Linked DNA regions of Oryzias latipes. The main gene of each other region encodes a partner of the protein of the gene in region 5 in a complex. Links are inferred from orthologs where the notes say so. Each region holds a gene or a part of one and is shown on either strand. Other genes may lie near its edges.

The links.
Region 1: lsm6 (region 5) and snrnp40 share a complex: the UniProt entries of both Homo sapiens proteins name them as parts of the U4/U6-U5 tri-snRNP complex. The link is inferred for Oryzias latipes from reciprocal best matches to the Homo sapiens genes LSM6 and SNRNP40.
Region 2: lsm6 (region 5) and prpf31 share a complex: the UniProt entries of both Homo sapiens proteins name them as parts of the U4/U6-U5 tri-snRNP complex. The link is inferred for Oryzias latipes from reciprocal best matches to the Homo sapiens genes LSM6 and PRPF31.
Region 3: lsm6 (region 5) and lsm5 share a complex: the UniProt entries of both Homo sapiens proteins name them as parts of the precatalytic spliceosome. The link is inferred for Oryzias latipes from reciprocal best matches to the Homo sapiens genes LSM6 and LSM5.
Region 4: lsm6 (region 5) and lsm3 share a complex: the UniProt entries of both Homo sapiens proteins name them as parts of the precatalytic spliceosome. The link is inferred for Oryzias latipes from reciprocal best matches to the Homo sapiens genes LSM6 and LSM3.
Region 6: lsm6 (region 5) and usp39 share a complex: the UniProt entries of both Homo sapiens proteins name them as parts of the U4/U6-U5 tri-snRNP complex. The link is inferred for Oryzias latipes from reciprocal best matches to the Homo sapiens genes LSM6 and USP39.
Region 7: lsm6 (region 5) and ppih share a complex: the UniProt entries of both Homo sapiens proteins name them as parts of the U4/U6-U5 tri-snRNP complex. The link is inferred for Oryzias latipes from reciprocal best matches to the Homo sapiens genes LSM6 and PPIH.

What each region holds. Positions count from the first base shown.
Region 1 is NC_019869.2:21,982,921-21,986,856, forward strand, and holds the start of snrnp40 (U5 small nuclear ribonucleoprotein 40 kDa protein), read right to left. Parts: upstream 2,801-3,936; 5' UTR 2,675-2,800; coding exon 2,564-2,674; intron 1,314-2,563; coding exon 1,184-1,313; intron 1,106-1,183; coding exon 1,012-1,105; intron 761-1,011; coding exon 595-760; intron 481-594; coding exon 358-480; intron 1-357. UniProt on the Homo sapiens protein: Required for pre-mRNA splicing as component of the activated spliceosome. Component of the U5 small nuclear ribonucleoprotein (snRNP) complex and the U4/U6-U5 tri-snRNP complex, building blocks of the spliceosome.
Region 2 is NC_019874.2:19,364,284-19,368,350, forward strand, and holds the start of prpf31 (U4/U6 small nuclear ribonucleoprotein Prp31), read right to left. Parts: upstream 2,801-4,067; 5' UTR 2,628-2,800; intron 2,359-2,627; coding exon 2,146-2,358; intron 2,066-2,145; coding exon 2,005-2,065; intron 1,915-2,004; coding exon 1,831-1,914; intron 1,737-1,830; coding exon 1,639-1,736; intron 1,442-1,638; coding exon 1,335-1,441; intron 1,202-1,334; coding exon 1,032-1,201; intron 937-1,031; coding exon 779-936; intron 682-778; coding exon 592-681; intron 517-591; coding exon 389-516; intron 1-388. UniProt on the Homo sapiens protein: Involved in pre-mRNA splicing as component of the spliceosome. Required for the assembly of the U4/U5/U6 tri-snRNP complex, one of the building blocks of the spliceosome.
Region 3 is NC_019878.2:23,647,139-23,650,248, reverse strand, and holds lsm5 (U6 snRNA-associated Sm-like protein LSm5), read left to right. Parts: upstream 1-1,289; 5' UTR 1,290-1,362; coding exon 1,363-1,408; intron 1,409-1,469; exon of another isoform or gene 1,470-1,484; coding exon of another isoform or gene 1,485-1,524; intron 1,525-1,973; coding exon 1,974-2,069; intron 2,070-2,149; coding exon 2,150-2,177; intron 2,178-2,245; coding exon 2,246-2,318; intron 2,319-2,394; coding exon 2,395-2,427; 3' UTR 2,428-2,610; downstream 2,611-3,110. Other genes in the region: psme2 (proteasome activator complex subunit 2), read right to left, coding at 2,769-2,849. UniProt on the Homo sapiens protein: Plays a role in pre-mRNA splicing as component of the U4/U6-U5 tri-snRNP complex that is involved in spliceosome assembly, and as component of the precatalytic spliceosome (spliceosome B complex).
Region 4 is NC_019863.2:18,333,438-18,337,719, reverse strand, and holds the start of lsm3 (U6 snRNA-associated Sm-like protein LSm3), read right to left. Parts: upstream 2,801-4,282; 5' UTR 2,718-2,800; coding exon 2,697-2,717; intron 1-2,696. UniProt on the Homo sapiens protein: Plays a role in pre-mRNA splicing as component of the U4/U6-U5 tri-snRNP complex that is involved in spliceosome assembly, and as component of the precatalytic spliceosome (spliceosome B complex).
Region 5 is NC_019859.2:18,489,126-18,493,397, forward strand, and holds the start of lsm6 (U6 snRNA-associated Sm-like protein LSm6), read left to right. Parts: upstream 1-1,472; 5' UTR 1,473-1,560; intron 1,561-1,977; 5' UTR 1,978-1,987; coding exon 1,988-2,081; intron 2,082-2,201; coding exon 2,202-2,315; intron 2,316-4,272. UniProt on the Homo sapiens protein: Plays a role in pre-mRNA splicing as component of the U4/U6-U5 tri-snRNP complex that is involved in spliceosome assembly, and as component of the precatalytic spliceosome (spliceosome B complex).
Region 6 is NC_019867.2:12,332,828-12,337,025, reverse strand, and holds the start of usp39 (U4/U6.U5 tri-snRNP-associated protein 2), read right to left. Parts: upstream 2,801-4,198; 5' UTR 2,686-2,800; coding exon 2,628-2,685; intron 2,317-2,627; coding exon 2,238-2,316; intron 2,162-2,237; coding exon 2,067-2,161; intron 1,980-2,066; coding exon 1,843-1,979; intron 1,312-1,842; coding exon 1,159-1,311; intron 1,074-1,158; coding exon 848-1,073; intron 253-847; coding exon 178-252; intron 3-177; coding exon 1-2. Other genes in the region: c9h2orf68 (UPF0561 protein C2orf68 homolog), read left to right, coding at 3,124-3,233, 4,032-4,147.
Region 7 is NC_019865.2:7,776,072-7,780,313, reverse strand, and holds the start of ppih (peptidyl-prolyl cis-trans isomerase H), read right to left. Parts: upstream 2,801-4,242; 5' UTR 2,692-2,800; coding exon 2,626-2,691; intron 1-2,625. UniProt on the Homo sapiens protein: PPIase that catalyzes the cis-trans isomerization of proline imidic peptide bonds in oligopeptides and may therefore assist protein folding. Participates in pre-mRNA splicing.

The DNA.
Region 1 (3,936 bases), on a different chromosome or scaffold from region 5:
TGAAACCGAAATTTTTTTTTTCACATGTTAGTCTTTATCTAAGTAGAATCAGATTATTTGGTGCATTTAAATGAAGGCAAACACATGATAAAACGTTGATTTAAGCTTTATGGCAGACTAATAAAATGTGTTATTTAAAACGGATTGAAAACAACTAAATCACTGATTTCTTTTTTCTTTCAAAATGTCAGAAAGTTTTTACCTTAAACACTGAGTTTTTATAAAATGTCAAACTTTTTTCTTGCCATCTACAGTAGAGCCACGTAGCAGCTGAGATTTCAGACTTCCTGTTAATCTTACAAAACAAAACCAAGGACACTCTGCTGGTTGTTGTTTTTTTTAGAACAATCCAAATACCTTGATGTCATTGTCGATGCCTCCAGACAGGATTTGGTCGCTGGTGTCATTAAACGTCACGGCCAAAACTTGGTAGGTGTTCTGGAAGGTGTGAATTGCCGCCTTTTTACGGATGTCCCACAACTGCAGTGACGATTAACAAAAATACAATAAAGCAACATTTAAAAACTTTGAATGGGACCTCAACAGTTGAAGCATTCAGAATAAATAACTGCACCTAAAATAAAAATGTCACACCTTTATCGTCCCATCATCGCTGCCGGTGCAGACCAGTTGTGGCCCCCGGCGAGCTGGGTAGCAGGTGTTAACAAAGGAAGTGTGACCTTTCAGGCGCTTAATCCTCTCCCCTGTTTCACTGTCCCAAATGCCCACGGTCTTGTCTGTGCTTGCCGAAAATAACAAGCTGGAGGCACAAAAATGATCCAGTCAAATTTTATGGAAAGGTTATTTAAGAAATGTAGATAGTTCCAAGTCCTAAAATTTACAGATGAACATTTTTTTTGTTCCATAAAGTTCCTTAGTTTTTGAAATCAAACTAAGACTAAGAAACAATGAGAATATGAGCTTTACTTTCACTGTAAACATAACCTAAAACAAGAAAAATGTCAATTTAAAGGTGAAGTTTAAAGATAAAATCTACAGCTTTCTTCCTACCTGCCATCTGTGTTGTAATGCAGCTCCATCACAGCTCCACTGTGGCCCTTCAGGGTGGCGTAATTTTCACACTCCCCAAAAACGTTCCACAGAACTGAGGTAAAGGAAGTAAGTGAGGAACAAAGCAACAGAAGAAGGCCGGGAGAACGGCAGCTTGCCTCTTTTTGCTTACATATGAGTCGGTCGAAGCCAGAAGACGCCAGCGTGGCTCCATTTGGATGAAATTTGCAGCAGTACACCTCGCCCTCGTGGCCCGACATCAGCATGATGGGAGCTTGCAGGCTGGAGGTCCGAGGAGGACCCTGGAGGAGAAAGGTCAGTTTAATTTACTTTCTGTTTTTTTCTTCCAGATTTAGTCCAAGTGAAATCTAAAAAGAAAACAGGCATGTGATAAAAGACAGATAAATAAAAGTGCGTTTGGGCTTAATGTGCCACAGAACGCTTCAGAGTAAAGTCCACAAAGTTTAATGCAAATCTGCAGCAGACCAGTGAGGAAATGGATCATTTGTAAAGGATCAAATTGATCATGTGACACAAAGGATCTTGCCACCCTATGGTGGCACACTTTCCATGCAGGGGCTTGTGGTGCAGAGGCAGAGCGGTCCACCTGATCACAAATATCGCAGGTTAGGTTCCACAAATGGGTGGGCAAGGCGGGAACCTAACCTGCGATATTTGTGATCAGGTGGACCGCTCTGCCTCTGCACCCTATGGTGGCACACTTTCCATGCAGGGGCTTGTGGTGCAGAGGCAGAGCGGTCCACCTGATCATGAATATCGCAGGTTAGGTTCCCGCCTTGCCCACCCATGTGTGGAAATGTCCTTGGGCAGGACACTGAACCCCACATTGCTTCTGGTGGTTATAGTTTGGCGCCAGTAAGAGAGCGAAACCGCCATCAGTGTGTGAATGTGTGTGTGCATGGGTGACTGTGAATGTGACTGTTGCAGGTGATATGTCATGCAGATTTTTGCAACATCAAAAGATGATTGCTAAAATGAAACCCCAGTGTTTAAAAGCTATTTATTTTTTACAATAGAAAAAAAAGATTTAGTATCTATCCTGTTAAATATCCTATAGTTTTGTCTCAATAATCAAAATATCTACTTACAGAAAAACATCTACAAACTGGAAAAGGTTTAAATACACAAAACTCATGCTTAATAAAAAAAATAACATTTTTTAATTTTCTATCATAACATTAGCCTAGGATTTGTAACCTGTTCACGGTTCACCCCGGAAACACCCATAACTGGGAAAGGTTCCTTTACCATCAGTTTGTTGATAACAACGGGATTTCGAATATAATACGTATTTTAAAGAAGCAACATTACATCCAAAAATTAAATATCCTAGCGAAAACTCGTGTTGTTATTCGTTGTCATGTGTTCTCTACGTCAAGAAATAATAGGTGCACCACAAAAAATGTCGTGTTTGAGTAAATTTTAGATTACATCATTTAAAGCATGCATAATACAAATGCGGGTCAACACCCGTGTGTATATATTTTCTCTAATTTGAGTTTTTTTGTGTGAACGTTGATTCTTTTCGTACCGTAGCCACGAGTTGCTGGGACTGTGCCGCCGCCACCAGCTCGTTCCGGGCTCGCTTCACAGCGGTGGGAATTACCGCCATGTCTCCCGCTCTTTTCTTTGGTTCAATCATCCCGAAATAATTGCAAATAATCGACAAAAATAAGTTTGTTTGTGACTACGGTTTACCGAATGACTATTTGCGCCTTCATGGGAAACGAGAAAAGCGTAGCACCAACGAAGAAATCAGGATGAAGTGTTTCCGGTGAGTATGAGCTGTGTGATTGGTTTAAACATCCATCTCCTGCTGTGATTGGCTGATGAAGACGTTGTCAGCGACAATGCACCGGAAGTACAACAATCTGAGTTCAGCTAACCACACGAAAGGTAATATTTTCATCCTTTTTTCAAGACTTAAGATACTTTTTGCGTGATTTTCCTTATCGTTCTACCACGACAAACGCCTATACTGTTCATGTCTGAGCTTTTGTCTTTGAACTGACGGTACAAACCGTAAGAGGACGAAATTATAAGCTAACCAAATTCATTGCTGACTTGTCTTGTTGTCAACTTAGATTTTTTGTTCGCTCGATTATTAAAAAACAACAACTTTGAGCTAATTTTTACATAAATAAAATTAGTAATTATATTTCTTTGGTACCGGGAAGTTAATGCTTTATTGCGACAGGTTGGCTTCATCGTAGTTTAAAATGACACGAATGACAATTTTCATTTTCAACCACATATTTGTACAAATAAATATCCCAAAAGGCACAAGGTCATTCTTTATTTGCAAGAAGTGAACAGCACAGCAGAGGTTAAAAATTTACCGAACTCTTTCTGTCAACCACATTACCTTTGAAATTAATTCATTTTCTTTTATGACTTTCGTTTGGTGAATTGGATGAAAGAAGATTGCTGTTTCATTTCCTCTCCCAAATTATGTAGAAATCTAAGAGAGGCAGTAAGTTGTCTTAAAGGGAAGAGTTTGGTCGGAAACCACGAAGATAAAGGGATTGCAAGTTTTCACCTCAAGGTCTCTGCTCTCTGAATTGTCTGGGCATAAACACTGATGGCAAATCTATCCATTTTGTAAACCCGTTTTGTCCCTTTCGGGGTCATGGGGCTGTCAGAGCCTTACCCGGCCACTCGCATGTTTTTGGATGGTGGGAGGAAGCCGGATCTCCTGGAGAAAACCCACGCATGCACAGATTTAGAGTAAAGCGCTAACCACTTTGTCACAGTGCAGCCCTGACCGCAGATCTGTACAAGGCAATGTATGCCACCTTAGTGCTGACTGATTGAGGAAACATCCAGGGGTTTTCTCTGAAAACTCACTTTACTGTTATCATCTCTAGTTACATAAAAAACCTGGTCTCCAGTTTGTATACCAGC
Region 2 (4,067 bases), on a different chromosome or scaffold from region 5:
TCTTTCACTAAAACATTACATCTGTGATAAATTCAACATTTGTCACAATTATGCAGATTAATTGATTGTACTGCAGTTTAAGATATTACAAAATACTTCAAAGTAAACTAATTGGACAAAAATGAACTGAGTAGGGCTGTCCAAATAATTGTATTTCTCCATTTAGTTAGTTCTTTGTTAGACAAAAGTATTTCTATATCAAAGATGTTTAAAACAACAATTACATTGCAGCATATTTTTAAAAGAACTCTGGCAAAAGAGCAGTTTTTGAGAATTATAAAATTCCTTAAATAGTTTTGAAGCCATTGACTATATTTATAATACAAACAGAGGTTTTGATGAATTTACAGGCAATTCTATCAAATACTAATAACCATAAGTGACTGACCTCCTTCCTCCTCTCTTCTTTCTCTGTCCGTCCAGCGGGGCTGGCAGTGGTTTGACCTGCTTCACTGGTGGAGGTTCCTGCCATTTATCAAACTTTCTCTCTATTTCTTCTTTTAGGTCATAGCCAACCTGCATTACAAAGGGAGTTGAATAACAGAGACAGAAATTATATTTCTGAATGTTCCTTTAATTTGAGATGTTTACCTTTCCATCTGGACTCTCGTGGAAACTGTCTACTCGAGAAGCCAGAGTGCATTTCGCGGCCACCAGACGAGCTGCCTTCCTCCTAAGGTCCTGAGGGGGGAGAACAAAAGGGGAAAGGAGATAACTAAGGCAAACAAACATTAGATGTGGAAAAGGTACTTGTTATTCTTGAATATGGTGTACTGACAGGAGGCAATGACTGCACAACATCACAGTGGTAGATGTAGCCCGTGTGAGGAAGCAGCGATGTGCTACTGAAGCCTGACAGAGTTTTCCTTTGGGCTCCCAGCAGCATCAAGTTGCAGGCTGGCATCTTTGAGAGGTTTGTTAGGCCTCCAGCAATGCCTTCAGCCAAACAGGGAAAAAAATTCAAAAGTAAGAAAAAAAAATGTATGGGCATAAAAAAACTTGATATTTTCTAGATAGTTTCACTTCCTCACCCATGATCTTTGCTGCAGTCGATGCTCCCACAATGATTGACAGGTTTGGAGCTATAAAGGACATTCTGGACTCTACATATTCATATATCCTGTGTTTTGACTGGTTGAGCTCCAGAGCCATGTCACAAGCCTCCTCAAGCTGCTTCAGCTCATCTTCCGTTAGCAATGACCTTAAGAGGAAAACAATAAAATATATAAAGGGAGTGTCTATGTAAATAAAATAAACAACAGACATAATAATGGAAATGTTAAAAAAAAAAGTTTATTGTAATAGGACACAAGTACCAACATTCTTAAACTTACCCCTGTGTAGTTGATGCAGTGACACTGACGACCATAATGGTGGCATTGGTTAGAATTTGCTGCAGGGTTTCATTGTTTTTACATTTCTCCAGGTTGTTTCCCAATTCCTTTATACGAAGCACACATTTACAACAAAAAAAGGGGGAAGATTTAGAGGTTAGATGCAAAAAGAAAAAAACAAACCTATGCAGAATAATGGAAACCATTCAGCAAATCTTTTCTTTTAATAGAAGAAAAACAAAATCAAAAATTTGATATCCGGTAACTTCAACGTCTCCAAACTTATCTTTTAAGATCAACAAACCTTGACTGTGCGAATGTAATCTAAAGAATCTGGAACCAAAGACTCAAGCTCTGGAAATCTCTTGGAGTATTTGTCCCTTGTAAACTTGTGAATGATGTCTGAAAAGACAGGAGAAACACAGACCTCACACTTTCAGTTGAAAGAATCCAATTTCTTCATTAGGTTTTGTCGCACAATAAAAGTCCAACTCACTAAGCTCATTGTCAATTTCAACTGTAAGATTGTTGGCTGCAACAATCAGCCTGTATTCTGGGTCAGCCTCAACTGGTCCTGAAACTGAAAGAAAATACAGGTAAACAGGAGAAAAAGAAATGGAAGTAAATCAGTAACATTTTCTGTTAAAATGCACATTTTTTCAACACTCACCATCTGAATTCTTGCGCTGTTTTCCAATATATCCAGATATTTTTTCAATTATATCTGAAAACTGAAAACAAGCAGTTAAAAGGGACTGCCTTCAGGTAGTGAAAAAAAGGAACTCTTTATGAGAGTCAGCTAAACAAAGACCTGTTTGCTATTGCGGAGCTTGGCGATAGACGTAATGCTGTCAGTTTTACTGTAGTCCACCTCCATCTCTTCGGGGATATCTTCCAGTCTTTCTGTCCTCCCTGAAGCCCCCTCTCCATCACTCCCTCCTTCCTCCCCCTCTGGGTACAGCCCATCTTCCCCCTCATCTCCAGCTTCCTCCAGGTCAGCCAGAAGCTCGTCAGCCAATGACATCTGCAATCAGAGTAAAATTCATGATCCATCTTCTAACAATGCATCTTTCAGCTTAAACGAGAGTAAAAGTGTGGGCAGTTGTTAAATTTGTGTTTATTGCAATTATTTTCAAAAGGAAGTAGATCTAACGAAAGTCTATCAGTGTTATTTTTTATAAACATCCCGTTGAAAAAAACAAAAACTGATATCAGTCTGCTATTCTGTGTTAGCTAGCTAAAGTTAGCAAACGTTCACCAAACGTCATTCAACACTGAAAAATAGTAACTTACGTCGCACTTTCAAAATGAAGTAAAACAAAACAAAAATATATTTATATTTTTTTAAAAGTCACTTTAGACAGGAAGGGTTCTAATAGAAGCCAATATAGGTAATGCTACTTGTGCGGCTTCTTGCTCCTGTTTACAACATAAAGCTCACGATCCGGGTGGTTTGTCGCAGAATAAATACGTCACGATTTCCGCATGGGATTATGGGTAAGTATCCCCTTTCCTTAAGAGATGAGAAAATAACATACGGGCTTCTTTCTAAAAATGAATGTTCGGTCTTTATGAGTTTACTTGGTTGCTTTAATTACCTTCTCTTAAAAAATGTGTAGTAGGTCGCAACTAAATACATATTTATTCGAATAAGGAGTTACATTTCAGGCCACAAAATAAAAACACAGGTTTTTTTCTAGTATTCCGAAAATGACTTTACTATAACTCTTCTTTTATTTGTAGTTCTTAAAATATTGTTTTAAAAATATTTTTCTATTCTTAATTTATTTTATATTATTTATTAGACCCTTAAAAGCTACCTGTACATAATAGGAAGAGAAGTTAAAAAAACAACAACAAATAACTAAATAAATGACTAGTAAGTTTCTGTGACAAACTGTTAAAAAAAACGTATTCAAAAGTGATGGGACAAAGTAAGAACTTAAAAACTTTACATTTTATATTTAAATTGCGTTTTAAAATATTTACACACAAAATATAATACATACATGGCAGCAAAGTACCAGTCTTGCATTCAGGAAACTAGAGTTTGGTTAACTTTTTTTTTTTTTTTTTTTTACAACAATTTTAATAAATTATGATACTTCACCATAGCACACAAAAACTTTATAGAAATAAGACAATTACCTTTACAATCAAAATTTCATTCACAAAACAATGGGCCACAAATTCTTTATCAATGGACGTTTATGCTTTGACCAATTGTGGTTTCCCACTTTATTAGACTTATATTTATTAACTGTTCTATTTTATACATTTTATTCTGTAACTGACTTCTGCTTTCAGTAGAACATATTTAAATATTACTTCTAATTGACACAATATAGGGACTCAGAAAGGACCCTGCCCTTGCAACAAATTGGTGAGGTATTTGAACGAATGAACAATGACTGGGACATGACCCGTATTGGATAAGAGGCTCACATTTTGTAGTTTTTATTGTACATCCTCCCCTTTGAAACCCAGTTTTTAAACAATACAATTTTAAACCAACATTTAAACAGACTAAACAAATGGACTAGTTGGACCTCAGCTGCATGATTGATGGCTATTAGTAGAAAATGAAATAAATTAACAAATACACAAGCAAATGGTCTTATTTACTGATGAGCAACTGTTCTGTCATGCTAAGCTACATAAACGGTCATTAAACAAGATAAAGAATGACAAGACTGCTAATAATATAAACATGAAAATAAGGAAACATTACAA
Region 3 (3,110 bases), on a different chromosome or scaffold from region 5:
AAAGTATAAAAAATAAATAGATACATATATAAATATATACTGCAACTTCCAGCTTTTTCTGCCACAATTGACACAAAAATGGATGTGAGATTGTGGAAGGCTGGGCATGCTTTTACATTTCAACATGTTGACGAGCCTTTTCTGCTCTCTCCCATAAATACTCCTGTGGAGAAAATATGTCTGTCCGTTATCCCAGAAGAAACATTATTTCAAATTAACATTGCATCTCTACCTCAGAGCATGTCTTATTGGAATATGTTTGCTGATGATATTGCATGGAAGGAGGTTTGGCAAACCCCTAATAAACGCTTGATCACCAATTAAGTAAAATAAGCTACTTTTAGGATTATCCACAGAATTTACCCAGATACAATTTTCATTCAAAAAAGATTAGATGAAACATTGATACATCTGTAGTTTTTGCTGCAATTCCCCTGAAACAGACATCCATCTTTTCTGGAATTGTCCTCAAGTTAAAGTGCTTTGGTAGAAGATTTGTGATTTCATACATGACAAAATTGATTCTTGTTTTGTTTTATTCTGGAAACATGTTTTGTTGGATCTTATATCAAAGGATACACAAAAGGACTCTGGTTGGCTTTTAAATCTCTTGCTCATGTTGGCCAAACAAAAAAAAAACAGTTACAACTTTTTTTAAATTGGTGGGTTTTTATATTATGTTCAGACCCCATTTTCTTTGTCTTTCACTTTTTTTTTAACTTTATTGACAATTGAGGTATCATACATTAAATAACGAACAATAACCATGTAATCAACATTACCTTGAAGATCAATCACCATTGCCAAACATAACATATTAACAAAAAAATAAAGAATAGAGAAAAACAAAAAAACAATGAACATAACACACAAATAAATAAAAACGAATAAGTAAAATAAAAATAAAATAAAAGAACATAGATCCAATCTAAATAGTCTAATACTAGTTAGGGGTACTCGTGAAGTTTGTATTTCTGAACAAAACAAAGCAATTTCAAGTCATTCTTCTTTTTCATATAATGAAGTGATTTGAAGTAAAAAACAGAGCTCTTTATGAAATGTTATAAAAAGTGTTTTGGTCTTCAAATATTTATTTTTGTGTATATAAAACTTTCCTTGCAACATCTGGATATTAAGAACACCAAATAGAAATTTTTCTGCGTGTAAATGAACTGGCATTGCAATTTTGGAAGAATACCAAAAGCAGAATTCCTCCCAGAATGTTTTTATAACTCCTTTGTCTTACACCTAAACAAACGTTGCTGTTCAAATAAATACTCCACGTTCGATTGCTTTTGCCTGCTGGACTGCGCTCATTTGTCGATTGGTCGGGCCTGTGCGGAAGCGTGTTCGTCAGTAAACATGGCAGCCACCCAGGGCACGAACCCGTCCCAGCTGCTCCCACTCGGTCCGTAAGCTTTAAATTAAGCCCGTTTTCTATCCGGGGTCTGACGGGGATTCACGCAAAACTCCGGGAAGTGTTCATGCGGGGGTCAGAGCCGGGGCCGCTGCGTGGTTTGAACGGTCTGACAATGGCGGGCAGGAGTTAGCAGCTAATTGTTCGTTAGCATCGAAACGCTCATGCTGTTAAAACTACGTTAAAGAATGACACTTTTTAAGTCTTTGGGTGTTTGTCTGATTGTAATATATTTAATTCATCGATTAATATGGTCCTGCCGTAAAGGGTTCGTAGTTGACGCGCTTTTTGAATTGCATAGCAATGCTGCAGCTAGCCGCTCCTTGCGACCGTGTTGCTAATTAGCCCAAAAGGAAACGTTTTCACCTCGTCATTCATTATCATTAATATTATTAGGATGTACTACTCTTAAGAGATGGTTTTCCTTATGTTGGATGCCTTGCGTAAACTTTATTTTAAACAAAAAGTTAAGTTACAGACACCTGTTAAAATATAAAATCAGTGTGGTTTGTAGACTGCATGCATGAAACTGAAATAACTGTTCTTCTTTCTTCAGAGCTTGTGGACAAATGCATCGGCTCTCGAATTCACATCGTCATGAAAACAGACAAAGAAATCGTCGGAACCTTGTTAGGTTTTGATGATTTTGTCAGTATCCTTCATCGATATTTTGGTATCAGTGTTGTGCTGTTTCCCTGTTTGGCCCACAGCCGCTCCTTAACTCTGTGTCAGACATGGTGCTGGAGGATGTGACAGAATTGTAAGTATCTTGTTTTCTTTTTTTTTGTGTACTTGGGGCTTGCTGTTGATGTGTTTTTGTTTTTCCAGTGAAATCACACCGGAAGGCAGGAGGATAACAAAGCTGGATCAGATCCTCCTGAATGGAAACAACATCACCATGGTGAGAAAGCAGTCGGTGGGAAGGATGGGGGGGGTGTCGCTGACCGGATCTCTCATCAGAATGGTTCTCTTTGCAGCTCATCCCAGGTGGAGAAGGCCCAGACGTGTAGATGTCAAGTTTTCTAAATGTACATACATCTTTGGTTGTTCTGGATTGATGTTAGTTTGCGGATTTCTCTTACTGGACATTTTGTTTTTAATATTTTTTAGTTTTGATTCTTTAAGGTTTGAATGAATCACGTCAAGGACAGAAAAGCTCTTTTTGTTATAAATAAACCAGATGATTAAACACAGTTTGATTTACAAGTTTATTATTCATAGGTTCACTTTAGTGCAATTTTCTTTCCTGTTTTTAAAAAGTGTTGGCATCCAACAGCAGTAATAACAGCTCACGGTTCATGAAGTCTAAATCTAAAGTTGCGCTCCTCCAAAACGGCGTACCGCTGCCGCCTCAGTACATGGAGGATTTCTCCTCTCCTTTTGGGTTGGTCACCTTTTCCAGGTTTTTGTTGATGATGTCGTACAGCTCGGCCTGAGGAAGTGAGAAGCTTGTTTGAATGAAAAGGTAATACACTTTAGCTATAAAACACCCCTAAAAACACATTTTCTTATATAAAACTAGGAATTTAACCTTTTTTTTGGTTAAAACCTTAAATACTTTCATTAAAATCCTACATCTGAGTGGAGGAAGATTTAAAAAGAACTTGTTTTAATCCAAGTAACTTCTTTTTTTTGTAAACCAAACAATTTATGCTACAAGAATCTCCAACTAAAAGTGAGCAAAAGTGTCTGG
Region 4 (4,282 bases), on a different chromosome or scaffold from region 5:
ACTACTTTTTTTCCCATCTCAACACAATTTGACAACACAGAAATCAACTTGTGATTCACAGTTTTTAATTCAGCAATCAAAATAAAATGTTGAAACATCCAACCTACATTTAAGACACCAAAAACGACTGTTTTGTGACATTTATATATGTTTAATATAAAAGCATTACTAATCTCATGGGTTTCAGCAAAACAAGTGAAGGCAGATTACATGTATTGGCGTTTGGGTAACCTGTGTGAATGTGTTTGAACTGTTAAATTAAGAGTATAGCATTAAAAATAAAAATAAAAGACAAAAAAAAAACATTTTGGTGACTAAAAATTCTAAACCTTGTGATTAGAATGAAAGTCAGTTTGCTTACTAATCTTTTTTTTTTTTTTTTTTTTTTCTAACTTGTTCTGTCCAACTTCTGAGCAAACAGATTAGAGCTGAAGGCTTTTTGTGTTGGACAGGTTTTACTATCACAAAAAGAGGTTATATAGCTTCAAGAAACTAGAGTGTAGATTTGTATAAACCCCTTTTTGTCGTATTATTTTTTATTTATTTGTTACATTTAGTGTGTGTGGGGAGGGAGAGGGGAAGAATGTGAGGGGAGGGTGGAAGAGAGTAAAAGGAAGAAAGGTGAAAAGGTGGGGGATACAAGCACTGATTTGACTAAGTTATTAATTTAAGCTGTAACAATTATACCAGATCTGCTGGAAAGACGAATGTTACATCAAAGGTCAAAATCTGACACTAAGATGAGCGGAAAAAAAACTGTCCATCAATACACTGTAGGTAAGGAGGAGGGATGAAGCAGACAGGGAGCAGTGTGGCAGTGTGCACGTGCACGTGGGGGTGGAGATACATGCATGCTGCCGACGTGAACCGTGTGTTCATAAAGGGAGCCAGATCCTACCCAGCCAGACCAGCCAGACCAGGAGAGGGGAGGAGAGCCCCCCAGGCCAGAAGCCCCCCCAGCATCCGGACCCAGGCAGCCCGGGAGGGGAGGAGGAGGGGACCGCCCACCCCACCAGCCAGGCACAGAGAGGGCCCCCCTACAGGGGCCCCCCCAATGCCCAGAGGCACAAGCGAACCCAGTGTCCGGCCCCCAGGCCACAAGACAGGAGCGCTTAGCCGTACCAGGCGGCAGCCATGGGGGCCACCGGGCGCCGGACACCGAGACAAAGGCCAGGGACGAAGCCAGGGCCCCGGAACCCATGAGCCGGCCACCACCCGACCAGCGCCCCGTCCCCGCAAGCCAGCCCAGGCACGCGACCCTAGCAACCCAGGGATCGCCACGCACCCGCAGCCACAGCCACCCCCCTAAAACCCGACGCACTACAACCCCCCCCCCGCCATAATATCTGACCCCCCCTCCCCAACCCTCTCAGTGCCCTCCCCTCTCTGTGATTGGGAGGGAAAGCCCCAGAGGGTCCCAGCGAGCCAGCCCCCAGGTCGGTCCTACCCATGCACTCACACACACATACTCACAATCATCTGGTTACCCTCCCTACCCCCGCCGCCAAGCAGTAACCCCCCCCCCCCCCCCCCCCCCCCAGCCGGCCAACCCCCAGCGCCGCATGCCCGACCCCTCCCGCAGCCGACAGGACACCCATAAGCCTGGCCGCCCTGAGAGGACCAGGCGGGTGAAGACCGGCCGCCCCCCCCCCCCGACCCCACCCATGTATGGAGGTGTGGGAGTGCTGTGTGTGTGCTGCAGGTAAAATAGGAGGTCACCAGTGTGGGGGGCTCCACCGCTGCCAAGCCGCAAAGCCCCCCACTCCGGAGTCCCTCTGTGAGTGGTGTGTATTTGCTGTGTGTGTGCTGCTAGCATGCAGTGTGTGTGTCTACAGAGGAAGTTAAAATTGTGGGGGGGCCAGCGAAAGGTGAGCACGGATGTTTCACCGTGCCCCCCTCCACCAGACCCTCTCCACAAGGCCCTAGATGAATCAGAGTGTCTAATATGCAAGTAAAAAGCGGGGAGGAGGGCGGGTGCCAACGAGAACCCAGAGAGGGGCATCCCCAGTGAGCCCCGCCAGCATACCCCTCCCATCCAGATCCCGGGGCCCTATGTGCCTGTGTGCAATATTTGTTTGGGTGAGAGCGGGGAGGAGCGGGCGGATGGGCACAACCGGGGGAGAAGGCTCCCCCGAGCGACCGGCCCCCCAGCCGGCCGCGGTAGGCGCCCCCCCCCCTCCCAGAGCGGCCGGCAGCCAGAAACGCCAAGCGTTTCAGAGAGTAGAAACCTCAAATGTAAAGTTTCAGTCCTCGAGGGCAGGTGTCCTAGTCTGCCTGCTGTTGATTAGCAAAACACACCTGAGGTAACCAGAATCAGAAGAAGGCCGTTTAATGAACACAGCAGAATGCATGCCCTCGACGGCTGGAGCTACAGCTGTTGTTTTCCCCACACATTTTACACAAACTTTCCTTCCTGTATAAACTATTTAGCTGCCTGGTTAGCACTAAAGCAATGAACTGTGTTTCAAACCAAACATTTGCGTTCAATTGAAACACAGGAACACCAAGGCTAATAATTCGGCTAACTCGGTTAGCCGCTTCCACGGCCCCAAACAGGTCAAAAACGTTCCTGTAATAACCTTAAAGCACTTTAAAAATAATGCAGCGTGCAGCGCAGTCTGCACTTTTAGAAGCAAAGTGGGCTTCTGTTCGTTCGTTGTAAGGTTAAACATATAATTAGCGAAAGAACCGCTAACCTGCTCAGCTTCGTCCGCCATACTGTTCGAGCATGCGCGCGTCGATTCCGGTACGCAGGTTGCCAGGTCCGGTGAAATTAAGATTTCAAACGGCAACACACACGTGCGTTTCGAATTATCCCTCGATTTCCAGTTCAACAAAGTTGAATTTTATACAAATAATTAGTTTACAATATATATCTATGCGTACTTTGAGAATGTGAAATGTTTATTATTAAAACTTATGGTATCAACATCCATCCTTAAAAGACTAAATTTAAAGTATGTGTAAATCCATACATAGTCCTTACCTAAAATTTAAATACAACACAAACATCTCCTTGTTGCATCCCTGCCACTTTTAAATTGAAACAACTGAAAAGACTAAACTATAAAGAAAAGAAATTCACCTTTCTCTCGACGCGTTGCGTGTATGTTCAAACCTGGCAACGTTATCCAGTACCGTCCTTTAGCGTTTTCCAGAGCTTTCTGTCCTCACAGGACACTGTCGTGTCATCCGCGCAGAGCAGCGAGAAGGTAAATTAATTCATAAATATCTGTTCATTTTGAGGTATTTGTCCTGTCTACACTAATATTCCAGAGCGTTTTGAGTGGTAGTAAAGCTGTTATTGGGAATTCAGTGTCTAACGGGTCTGTTTAGAAATATTCCGTATGCGAAATGTTAATGTAAACGAGAAATGAAATGTAAATAGTTACACATAATGAAGCTTTCCGTTAGTGAGAAAACCGTTAAAATTCTTTTAAGAGAGAATATATTCCTAAAATGTAATCTGCAGTTTATTCAAATATTTATTTTTAATGATTACACTAAATAATTAATCGATTTATTAATTGAAACTAACAGACCAAAAAAGGCTATTTTATGTTCATTGATTACTCTTTTCAAAGTCTTGCATTTAAAGATAAGAAATCGTTTTAATAACAGTCTAAAATTATAATAGGTGGACTTAAAAAGCAGAAAAACGAAATAAATTGCTTTTCAATTATTATTTTTTTTATTAAAAATAACAATTTCTTGTATACAGGATACCAACCAAGTGTTGGAAAATAAAAAGCAAAATGCTATTTAAGTAAAGATAAAATGATGCAGCGGTTGTGATTTATTGCGTCATTATTTTATTTTGGGGAAAAAACTATATTTATTGAACATCACTAGTTTAGACTGGTTAATGTAACTAAATGGGTTGCAGACGTTCTGTTTGTGATGTCATACACAGCCTCTGGTCCTGTGAGGCTGCTATTCTCCGCGTTGTGTTTGTAGGGTTACAGGTGTGCGCCTCCTCTCTTCTCAGGACGATCCAGTTCTTCATACTGGATTTGTCAGTGGGAGGGGAGGCAGATCAGAGCAGTGGTACTGCCCATTCCACCCTCAGCTACATCATGGCTTTGTGATGGAAGAGATCCTGCAACAAGCTCAGACAGCACCGCAAACAGGCTCCACGCTCAGTTCACACTGTTTCCTGTTTATACTGCTCTTCACTGAGAATCAGTGAGAATTTCAGGTGGACTAACACTGTTTTTCTGCTTGCTCAGCAGCTCAGGGCAAATGGGTAATTGGTGAGAAGATGGCTCTGAAGAACAGGAAG
Region 5 (4,272 bases):
TACTCATAGTATACTTTACACTGAAAAAAGGGACTTTGTGAAAAAAACCTAAATAAAAAGAAAAACACTGGCTCTGATATCTTACCACCACTTTGTTTTTATTTTAGAAATGATTTTTAGAGTTTCAAGATTGCTGATCTTCATGACCTAGCAAAAGCGGAAGTTCTTTGTCCAAAAACGGATCGCCATATTTCATATATAAAACAGTCAAACTTAGTGTGTTAGATATTACTTTAAACTTTCCTTGATGTTTTTATTCATAGACATTCCAGTGAGAACATCAAAAACAATAAAGTAGTGGTTTTGATTGCCTCATCACTGAACTTACTCCAAATGTTGTCCGTATAAACTTTGTAACTACTTAAACTTCTTTTATACACAACAAATACTTAATCTTAGCATTTCTATTTTTCTTGTCTGATAGGTTTTCACAAATACATTGTCACAATCAGAAAGTGTAAAATATCATGCGCTTTGACCTCAACTGAATCCAACAATGTTTGCAGTTCTTTGCATGTTCTGCTTGTTCCACGGTCTTCTGTGTGGCATTCATTCTTGGCGTTGTTTTGCTGGCTGATGAAGTTTTCTACTGTTCCAAATTTTAATTTGTCTTGATTTTAGTGCAGCTAATGATGATTAATCAAATGCTTTGCTCTGCCCTTTGTGAGTTGTGTATCTCTGACACAGTTTAGGACTTGTTTAAATCCAAACTATGTGAATAAATGTTAAAAGCATCCCAGCAAAAGAATGCATCCAGCTCTAACTGGATTTCTCCTGGTGGCCTTCTCAGCTTATTAAACATAAGTGAGCTCGATCAATTGCTCACTTGTTTTTTTTTTCTCACTGTTTAATTGCTGAAGCCATAGAACATCCAGTTAGGTTGTAACATTGTCCGTCTAACAGGTTTATTCTGCAGATTCAAGCCTTTACAGATTGTCCAAAGGTACTAAATGTTTCTTCAGCTGAAACAGGCATGTGACTTGACATTTCAGGTCTCAATAATAACTTCCTCTGACTGCCTTATTCTAAGTCCTAACATTTGCCTATAAACAACCCTTACTAATTATTGCTCTCTTTGCCAATGAATAGCAACTGGTGCAACATGCAGCAAAAACGTAATATGCTAAACTCTTCAGTTCTGGGATAAAAAATTGTGAATTGATCCAACCGGTGTTGACATAAAAAAAAGTAGTTTTGAACTTTTTATTTTATTTTACAGGACTTAAATTAGAATGTAATGTCTTGACATGTGTCCTGCTTTAGAAAAAAGCCGGTTAAGAGTTTAATGGTTTGAAAACAGTAAACAGTTCTATTATTATTATTATTATTATTATTATTATTATTATTATTATTATTATTATTATTATTATTATTATTATTATTATTATTATTATTATTATTATTATTATTATTATTAACAGATTTTCTAAATTTAGCGCGTTTGCTACTTAATGCGATTTCGATATTTTTGACAACGGCCGGCTACCATAGACTGCACGTATATGATTGGGTAGTTCGCGGGTGTCGTTGAAAACAGTCGTTTGCTAGACGTAATAGCAGGTGAGTGGAATGTAAACCAAGCCATTTACCTCTGCTTGTAAAGCAAACATGCGTTTAGCCTATTTACATTGCAGATACAATTGTTTAGAAAATCTTAAAGAACCTCCGGCATTATCTCTACAGACATTAGACAGTTAACCCCGTCAGTAGCCAGATGGTTAGCTACGCTAGCAGTAGCAGCTAACGTCTCCCGCTTGCTCAGTGATTTAATTTGTTCATTGATGCTTATTTCTGTAGTTCAGCACGTGGTTGGAAAAAATGAGAGTTGGGCTTTTTATGTGGTATTTTAGCGGAAATAAAACATCGTTTTTTATGTATTAAATCCACGCTATTAAACATAAAACTAATCATGGAGGACGATGGCGATGCTAGCACAAGAAACTAAAAGGCTAATATACAAAAACCTTTATTTTTCAGATCAAGCAAGATGAGTATGAGAAAACAAACGCCGAGTGACTTCCTTAAGCAGATAATTGGTAGACCAGTGGTGGTCAAACTAAACTCTGGTGTGGATTACAGAGGTAAAACACCTGGCGTGCCAGGCTCAGCCGCACGGTTCTCCTTTATTGTTATTTCTAAATGTCTGTTAAGGAATGAGACTTTAACCAAAACTTTGTTCCTGTTTGCTATAACTTATGCAGGTGTTCTGGCCTGTCTGGATGGTTACATGAACATCGCCATTGAACAGACAGAAGAGTATGTTAATGGACAGCTCAAGAACAAGTATGGGGATGCCTTTCTGAGAGGAAACAATGGTAAGAGGTTACATTTTTACAATAAAAATACTGATTAAGCCTTCTGCACATAATGACGTTAGTCAAGGGGGTATGCCTTTAGATTATATGTTTTAACTTTACACTGAATAGTAGGTATGCATAGTCAGTTAAATAACCCAAAATCATTGGTTAATGATATTTGACCTATTCATCATAGTTTTAATTTATTTTTAAATACAGCGATGTATGTCTGAAACATGCAAATATGGTGAAAATATTTACATTGCATAAGGCATGCCTAAGAACTCATTTAAAGAAATTGGAATTATTGGTCAAGTTTAGGTGACTATGGTAGAGAGATGTGGTTTGGAGTTGTTTCTTTGCAGAAATGATTAGGTAAAAGTAGCCTAATCAAATAGATTTAATGCATGTCTTAAACCAGGGGTCGGCAACCTTTACCACTCAAAGAGTCATTTGGAGCCGTTTCCCACAGAAATGAAAGCACAGGGAACCGCAACACAAGGGGTGTTAGAAATAAAGCGTTTTGCTTTTGAAATGTCGCAATAGTTCATTTGACAATACTTGTATTGATTCAAAATGCTGTCAGGATATTTATTTAATTATTTATTTTAATTATTTATGAGCCTTATGTTTCCTTTGATCTTTTGTCCATTTTACACAACCTTGATCTTGTGCCCCTACGAGATTACCGCTGACTGTCTTTATAGAAGAACTTTCCATCCCATACCAGACTCTGGTCAGTATTCACATGTGCAGACACGCCCCCTCCGCGTGCTCACGCTGCGCTCTTCCTCCTGACCGCTCGCGCTACCCGACGGTGTTAAAGGCTCTACAACAATCTTAGAACATGATAGGTATTTTACAAAAATACAGACAGTCGCAGCACAGGGATGAAAGCGGCTCCGGAGCCGCAGGTTGCCTACCCATGTCTTAAACCAACAAAAAACTATTTGGGGAGTATTAGAAAAAAGTTGACAATTTTGCTAATAGGAACGTTTCAAAGTGATAGAAATGAATCTTAACAATTTTAAGTGCATGATTGATTTATATTGGTTTAACCAAATGGACAGTAATGACACAAATTTTTAAAGGTTTAAGGCAGTACGAAGCAGGATGATCTATAGGTGTGACACAAAAACGATCAGATGCAGATTGTTTAGGAGGCAAACGAATAGAATGGGCTGGCTAAAATATCTTTAACCTCTTAAGACCTGATGTCCACATGTGCGAACATCACATATTACCACAGTTGTTAATTTTGCTTAACTGGGGCCCTGTGACTATGTGTAGAGGGTTATCTCAAATATTAGCTCGGGTCTTAAAAGGTAAAACTATCACCTTCCCAGTTTATCTGAGTTTTTTCTTTTGCATATGGAAAATATATTAAAAAAAAGACTTTGGATACATCTGTAAATGGCATTTCTAAAACTGCAGTAAATAATTTCACTTTACCTTTAAAAATGTAAATTCTTTCACTAACTTATACCATCTGCTGTGAGATTTCATCTTTAGGTACACAAAATCTGTGTTTGGGGAATATTTGAAATTTGTTTGAAATGTTAACCACTAATGGAGAGCTAGCCTAGCATATTCTGACACAACACAATCAAGGAAACCTTACATAATGATGTAAGCTTTCTCTTTTTTGTCCTTTTATTTTCTAAAGAAACACACTTTATTCCTATGTGTGGACAACACAAAAATCCAAAAAAATTATATAAGGGCAATACCAATGTTACTACTTCATCTGCAGAGACAGCCTAAGCACTAGAGGTGTGTATTGGCAAGAGTCTGACGATACGATGCGTATCCTTATATAGTACCGGAGCACATTTTCTTTCTTTTTTAAAAAGAAAATGACTTAGAAAAATATCTGACTTAATTTCAATATGTCTTTCATTGTAAAAAAATGGTCAAATTCCATTTAATGATCACAATGTTGAGCACTGCAACTGTATCTCATATACAAGTTGCT
Region 6 (4,198 bases), on a different chromosome or scaffold from region 5:
TGCTGTGTGAAAACAAAGAGCAGACCAGTTAAATTGAAGGACATTGCATGCAGACAACCAGCACTGGCTCTAAAATAGACTCCTTACATTGGAATAAAAGAGAAAATTACACATCAAATAAATGAATTCAGAAATTCAACAGATTTACTATAAACTAGGAGTGAATTTCTGACTCACATGGCTTCTTCTTTGTGCCTCCAAGAGCGCCATGCATGGCGTTTAGGAACCATGTCATGAAGTCCACAGCATCACCTGCAAACCAGAAAACATTGAGCAAACTCTACAAACTTATCCAGTGAGTTAAAGATTGTGGGGCAAAAAAGTATTTGGCAGCCACTGACTCTGCAAGTTGTCCCGCTCAAAAAGCTGAGTTTGGTCTGTAATGTTTACCATAGATATACTTCAACTGAGAGATAAAATGTCCAATAAATTATCCAGGAAATCACATTGTCAGATTTTTAGAGAATGTATTTGTATAATAGTGCAGAAAATAAGAATTTGGTCAACAACAAAAGTTCACCTCAATAGTTTGTAATGTAACCATGATTATCTATGACAAAGGTCAAACATAGGTCTTAAGCAGGTTTACAAACACTATAGCTATTATTCTGGACCATTCTTCCATGCAGAGCTGTAATGTTTTGAGGCTTTTGCTGAGAAACATACTTTAAACTCCCTCCACAGATTCTCTTTGATGCCAGAGTTATGTTTTTGGGATCAGTCATGTTGGAAGATCCAGCCATGTTTCATCTTTAGTGCTCTCATTGATGGAATGAGGTTTTTGCCCAAAATCTCAGCCTACATGGCCCTATTTATGTCAGCACTCCACAGGCCACAAAATAGTTACCTTGTTTGGTGATTTGGAAGTTTTTCTTGCTGCACAGGACTACAGCCTGCAGCATCTCGTGGGGCGACACGTGGGCCTTGAAGTTTCTCGGATTCCAAAGTTTGCGCATCAGCTCCCCAAACCGCTGCACCAGCAGAAACATGATGTCCCCTGGTGGCCTCCGGATGTCTCTGTAGTTCTCCTCCTCAAGGAAGTAGTTTCGCAAAGGTGGGACGTTGGAAAAAGCCTAAAAACAAAAGTACAATATGAAACCCCCTGTTATTTAAGTTGATGCCACAGCCTCAAAAATCAACATCAGCGGGGTTTCATACCTGTAGTACAGCATTGGCATAGTCGTTGGCTTTAATGTTATTAAGCCCTACAATCCCTGGCAGGTAGGTTGTACCATCGTAGGCTCTGTACAGTTTACCATGTTTGTCCAGACCCTCAATGTGCTGCTTGGTGAAAGTCGGCTTCAGCACATACTAAAGAAAAAAAGAGCAAGATTACCAACACAAAGCAAGAGCTTACAAAAAATAAAAAAAGGAGGGGTAAAAATTACTTAACATAAAACATTAAAAATTTAAAAAAGAAATGTAAAAAAAAAAGACGTATTAAAATTACAGCCAAAACTCTAAAAAGTATACTTTAAGACATTGCTAAATAACTTATTTTTAGATACTAGTACTGATACTTATGTGCAAAATATAGTAAATAAAATATACTATGCAATCAAATACATTGGCCTTGTATAAAATATATAAATATCGAACACATTTTTATGTACTCTGGGTTCACAAGTTAAAACTATTTTTAAACACAGAATATGTTAATGAAAACTATTGAAGTGTTACACTGACAAACAAGGAATGTGAGCAAAAGAATCTATCAATCATATCTAGAAGAAAAACAAAAAACTTTGTTTAATTTTAACATGTAACTGTTTACTTTTCCCCCCAGAGCAATTACCTTTTCATTTATACATTGAAAAACAGCAGATTTACTGCATTACTTACTGTGATGTCTTCTAGCGATGAGTCAATGATCTCATAGTTGTCTGGCAGACAGTAAAACTTGAGTGTGTGCAAGTTGAGGAACACATGGTGAGAAAACTGGACACTGTGAGTGTAGGCATGAGACTTCTGACCTCTGCCTGCAACAAGGAATGCAAACGTAAAGATGTTTAGTGTCATCTAAAAAGGAAAATAACAATGTGCGTTTGATGTGCTAATATGTCTACCTTGAAAGTATTTCCCACAAATAAGACAGGCATAAACATTAATGTGAGACAGAGAAATGGAGCAGAGCTTCTCAAAGTCAAAATCCAGAACACTCCTGCAAGACGAGAAGAAACTGAATTACAAGAAGAATGCTAACTAGCTTTAGCATACATTTTCAAACATTTCCTTGCCTGTTTATGGTGTCCAGGTAAGGACAATGGCGGCTTCTTCGGTCTTCAACCACACGTCCTCGCCTAAATTTGACTGTCACTGCAAAAGAGAGCAAATCACGATAAAGCTCAGTAGACGTAAACGGAATTCATTTTTACGAGAACAACTAACTACTAGCAATCAAAACATGCTTGCTAGCAAGCTAAGATTTTTCTATTAATCGATCTCTGTTTTAAAATAAACAGGTTTTACATATATTTTTATATGCTGATTGTCTTTGTCTTACATGTGAAACCATCAGTTTATTGGTGTAGAATGGAACTGACACAATATAAACTTTTTATGCTAGAAAATGCTCTTCTGGCTGGCTAACAAAACGAAAAACGGACGTAAGAGACAAATCAGCATACCTTCGTCTTCGTTATCCTCGTCGTCTTCTATTTCCTCCCTTTCACGCTTTAAAGACATTCTTGTAACTATAAGTTAGCAAACGGTTTGCTAACGAAACAAAAATTAACAAAACTTGAAGGTTTACGAGAGGAAATGAATGGATATTATTCAGCTCCTCGAAACTCGCGGTGGTTGTACGTCGGTGGTAATGGCGTGGGAAACCAAAACGTAACCCGGAGTTTAAAAAATAAATGTTTACCCCCATGTAAACTCTAAGTAATATATTTTATTTATTTGTATACTTCAGTTTCTTTTTTTGTCACAGAAATATAACCAAAATAGTTTATATTTTAGTTCAATGTGCATTGTAGGACTTACACGCAATAAATTAATTTGTAGAAACTCCGGGAACGCTACGGTTGGACATCCATTTATACATCGTTAGCTGTCTAGCTTTTTGTTAGTATTTTGCTTGTTCTTCTTTAGCTGTGTTTTCTTTCTAGAGTGTTTGCTGAAATGGATCTTATAAGAGATGAAGGAGTGCATGAGCTGAAGTACAAACCGGGGGGCCGTCTGGACATGAGCCACGGTTTCCTTCATCATATTCGGAGGAACCAGATTGCCAGGTGATTTCCTTTTTGCTGTTAGCCGAGTTAGCATACTTACTTGGGATGTCAAATGTCAATCTGTAGCTGCTGTCATTTCATGATTGATGTGAAATGATTTTTTTAAAAATGGCAGACAGTGAAATAACATTTTTTTAAAGTACCTAAAAGGCTTAAAGTCAAGTTTATTTTTACTTTAAAGCAGTAGAAGCAAAACCCTATTGGACTGACTGAAATTTTAAAAGGAGCATTAAGTTATTCGGTTTATGTTTTATTAGTGTAATTTATTATTTAAAAGTGGATTATTATATAAACTTAGGTTTGGTGTGTAAAACTTTTAAAGTTCCTCCTTGATAAATTACATACGCTGAGTTGGGCTGTTTTACAGCATCTGCTCTCTGTCTGGTCTTAAAAAAAGCTGCTACAATAATGTATGATAAGTATTTTGATTTACGTCCAAACAAAAAAGTTTGTTTTAATTCCCACACTCTCACTCTTTATTTAATCATTTAAAACGGATTTTTAACATGTTGATTTTATTTAGGCAACTTTGAAAGATGAACTATAAAGCTAAAAGAACAGCAATAATAATGTTGCTTTGTTGTGCGGCTCTTTAAATTGCTTTGATGTATGAAAAACAAAGCTGTTTTGCCTTAAAATAATAAAATTTTAAAAAAAGTATTATCCTCCAATGTGTAAACAGACCTAGGAACATTTTTAAGTTCATGGCCATGACCAAGATGCTCTGTGTTTTATTCAACTGTGCAACTTGCTATGTTTTTAAGAAATAATCAGAAAATATTTCAATTTCTTTATAAGAGATGACTATGATAAAGAAGTGAAGCAAGCCAAAGAGCTTCAGCGGCACAGGCGCACCACAACCCCCAAAAAGCCTCGGCGACCTGACATCCAGGTGTACCATCCTCGACGGAGACGTAAGACTGACATATTTCTTACTTTGCTGCTTTTAGAGGAAATGTAACACT
Region 7 (4,242 bases), on a different chromosome or scaffold from region 5:
CAGCGTGAAGACGCGGAGGGGGCGTGTCTGCGACAGACCAGAGTCTCTTATAGGATGGAAAGTTCTTCATGTTGAATGAGGTTGAATGAGAAGTGAATAAAAGCCTCATCATGCAGAACCTCTCCGGGTCGTCTGTCGACCAGCTGTTGTATTTTTGTCACCAGGTCTGAACCAGGAACGGGTCGGAACCAGGCGAGCTGCTCGTCCCTGTAGCGGTTACCCTGTGCTAACGACTACGGTCAGCAAGCAGTCAGCAAGGTTCATAAAAATAATATAAAAAAAAAAAACAAAAAAAACTAACGGGCTGAGTATTAGGTTTCTGATTAAAGTTTGGATTACACACCTGCGTCACCGCCACGACTCCCAACAATGTTCTGGGACAACAATGGAGAATTTTGAGAAAATTGAAGTTCCTCATGATGAATGAATTATTAATATGTAATGAGGAATTAGCAAACAACAAAGTCTCAAATGTGGCAAGACATTCCAGTATAAACATGCAGCTTTTGTCTAAAAACATCCAGATCCAGATGAGAAAATAAGTTGTTTGTTGACAAAAATCTATTGGAGAAGCAGATTAACTGCTAGTTAATTACAACATATTTGCTAGTTTTGTGGCCTCTCGGGGAAATGGTTCTCATCGGAACCTATTAAATAACAGAGGATGAAAAAAAAAAGAACGCAGCGCCCCCTGCTGGTTCATCACCGCGGTGATCAAAAATCCCACACCGTCACAGCTCAATTTAGACACATATTAAAGAAGCAGCCACAAAAACACATCTACTGAAACTATCATCATTCTCTGGAGCAAGGACGCGTTGAAGGGGAAAATAAAAACATAAGGCAGGAGACACCAAATTGATGAAGCAAGGCACAAAAACACAAGTAAAAAAGGTCAGTCCAACCTGTCCATAATGATTTCTGCGGAGGCAGAATGTCTTGGGGGAGGCTGTTTTTGCCGATAAAATCAACAACAACTGCAAATGAGGCCTCATTGTTTGCTATGCTGCTTTCATTTGGGACAGTTAAAAGAAAATACCTTTGGGACCTGAGAGTTCTTGGAAGTCTGTAAGATCAACGTGCCTTATAAAAAGGAAGCACGTAAGTTTTTCAGAGTTTTTAAATGTCTTAAAAAAAAGAACATGTTTGTGGACGTAAAGGATACAGAAATGTATAAAAGAAATTAATCAAGTTATGAGTGTAACAGCCATATCAGTTGAGAATCACAGATACAAACAAGATCATGTTAAAATAGAGGTATAAAATTGATCAGGAATAATCGGTTTATCTCTGTCAATTTCTCTTCTTTTTGTGCTTTACTCTATCGGAACGTCCAGTCACAAGCTTATTTCTACCAAGTCAGGTTAATTACAGTAAGCTGAAGGTCATCAATGTATCTATGAAGCGTGTTTTTGGACTGTGGGAGGAAGGGATGCACGGGGAGAACATGCAAACTCCACACAGAGAGTTCCCAGCTAGGTCTTCTCGCCGCGAGAGCGCTAACCACTGTGCCATCGTGCAGCCCTTATGTTATATGCCAAATGAATAATAAATATCTAGATTGTTTTCCATTTAGTCATTTGTCATCCTTTTAGATTAAAAGAAATTGGACTGTACCGGAAAGTTAGTTGAATATTTTATGTATCAATTCATAGACCATGTATCGAGATGCGCATCAATTCATTTGAGACGGAAAGATATACAACCCCACTCCAGAGCAGTAAATTAAATACAAGGTACCTATCTACGGCGGGCATGGTGCAGCGTTAGGGCGGTCGACCCATGATTGTAATATTGCAGGTTTGATTCCCGCCTTGCACACCCATGAGTCAAAGTGTCCTTGGGCAAGACATTGAACCCCACCTGGCCTCTGGTGGGAGGTTGGCGCCAGTGTTCGGCAGCGGAGCCGCCATCGGTGTGTGAATGTGTGTGTGACTGGGTCTGCGACTGTAAAGTGCTTTGGGCCTTGAAGAAGGTAGCTAAGCGCTATATAAGTATACGCCATTTGCCATATTTAAAAGACAGATTGATAGATAGCAAGCAAGAAAGGGCATCGTTAGTATTATATTAAACTTTGGAAATGTGTGTTGTACTCCCTGATTACTTGATTCACCTGAATTAAGTTAAAAAAACAAAAACAAAAAAAACACAATGGATCTAGGGGAAAAAAAGCTTTGCGATATCAAAGTACAGACGGAAAGACTCTCACAGACTAAGTTAAGTAGAGAATTAAACAAGCTAGAAAATAAGCAAAAGTAAAACCAAACATGTTGTGTAGTCTTTGTTGGATCTAATGGAATGCTGTATAAACATTACTTTAAGCTTTTAAAAATATAAAAAAAATAAAACGTCGTTTGTTAAAAGAGTGTCTAAACCGGACTTTAATTTGTTAATACGACGGTGAAATTCAGACAGAGACACATGATGATTCACCACACAAAAACTACTTTTATTTATAAGGATGCATCTAATAAACAGACGCAAACCGTATCACGCGCAGTTTACATGATATTATTCTTTCTCTGTAAAGAATAACTATATATTTGAGTCGATTTTCAAGTTACCCTTAAGCCTTAGCTAACAAATTTTAGCCATTTATTCAACTTTTCTTTTAAGCTCACTTACCTGACCGCCGATGGTGATGTCGAAGAAAACGATTGGATTGTTTGGGTTTGTAGGTTGAACAGACATAGTGATATTTTATACATACAACTTATTAACTTTAAATAATAGCAATGTTGAATTCACACGCCACTCATTTGAAAACCACGCACATGCGCAGTAAGAGTCTACGGTGGCTCGCCGGAGTCAGCGAAATACTTGCGCTTTTTTCCTTCAAACTTTATTGAATGAATACAAAAAGAAGGAAAGAAAGAATGAAAATCAGTGCTATGCGCTTTTTACCATGGACTGTAAAAACAATGGACACTATGAGGACAGTTCTTCTTTGTTACTTAATAATATCCAAAACCTCAGAACTATTGATGAAGAGGAAATTAGTTATTGTGGGAGCCTTCTCACGCTTGAGGAAGTAATTTGATTTTATTTGATTTATTTTTATTTCAAGCATTAACTGTAGTCAATACTTTTTTTTTAAATCACACAGATTGACAAACTAATTACAGAAATGATGAAAGACATAGATTAAAACAAAGACTCGCTTTTGTCACATTTGCTTAAATAAATATAGTATTCATTAATGTCAAATAGAGCTTCTTGATTTATTGCTTGAAAATGAGTGGGAAGAACAAAAGCATTCATAACCCCACCCTTTAAACTTAAACTAAAAGTAATGTGAATTATTTGCAATTAAGGACTGCTCAGTAGATGTTATCTGCAGTATAATGTTAAAATTAATAGGGCCAAAATTTTTCTTAAGAACCCCACTGCTATCTGGAACATTATACCATTTACAGATTTTTTTCTCTAGTTTTGGAGGCTTTAATTTTATTTTGAATTGTAACAATAATGTTGTGAAACTCCCAGTAAAACTCTCATCTTTCCATTAGCAGGTCCTCTTAGTGTGGAACCTAATTTTCAAGTATCCTTTTTCACCACACAAATATTTCATCTGGATTAACAGATTTTTTTCATTTAAAAAAAGATCACTCCACCTGGAGACCTGGACACAGAATAGGACCCTGCTGGTGGCTCGGCTATTCAATAAGGAGGGGCAGCTGCTAAACTACAATGTGTCCTTATCGCTATATAATTTTCCTGTCAGTCTACAAGAGTCCATAAACCTTGTGCTATCCTAGGCACTTTAACATTGGGAGTTGGGTCATCTAGACCCACTAGACAGTGCGCTGAACCTTTTTTCTTCAATGATTTGTGAACCTCACTGGTGTCCATGGATTACATGAAATCTTTCCACCTTTATCCATCTTTGTCATGGTAGGGAGAACACGTCAATGCAAGGGTGGGGTCATCTAAGATAGCACAAGGGTTAATGGTGCAGAATGCCCTACCATCAGGAACATTAATGCTGTTTAAAAACACTGATAAATAAGTGACATAGTATATTTTAAATTATTGTAATCAATTTGTTCCAGGTAACAACTGGAAAGTGGTGTGGAGGATCCCTCATAAACATTTAACAATAAATAAGGTGAAAGAAGTGTCTTTTTAAATTCTCCATAAAATTTACCCTGCAAAACAATACTTGACAAAATTTGAAAAAGATATTAATACTGATTGTTTCTGTGGAGATCATTCAGAAACTGTGACACATCTTTTTGGGTA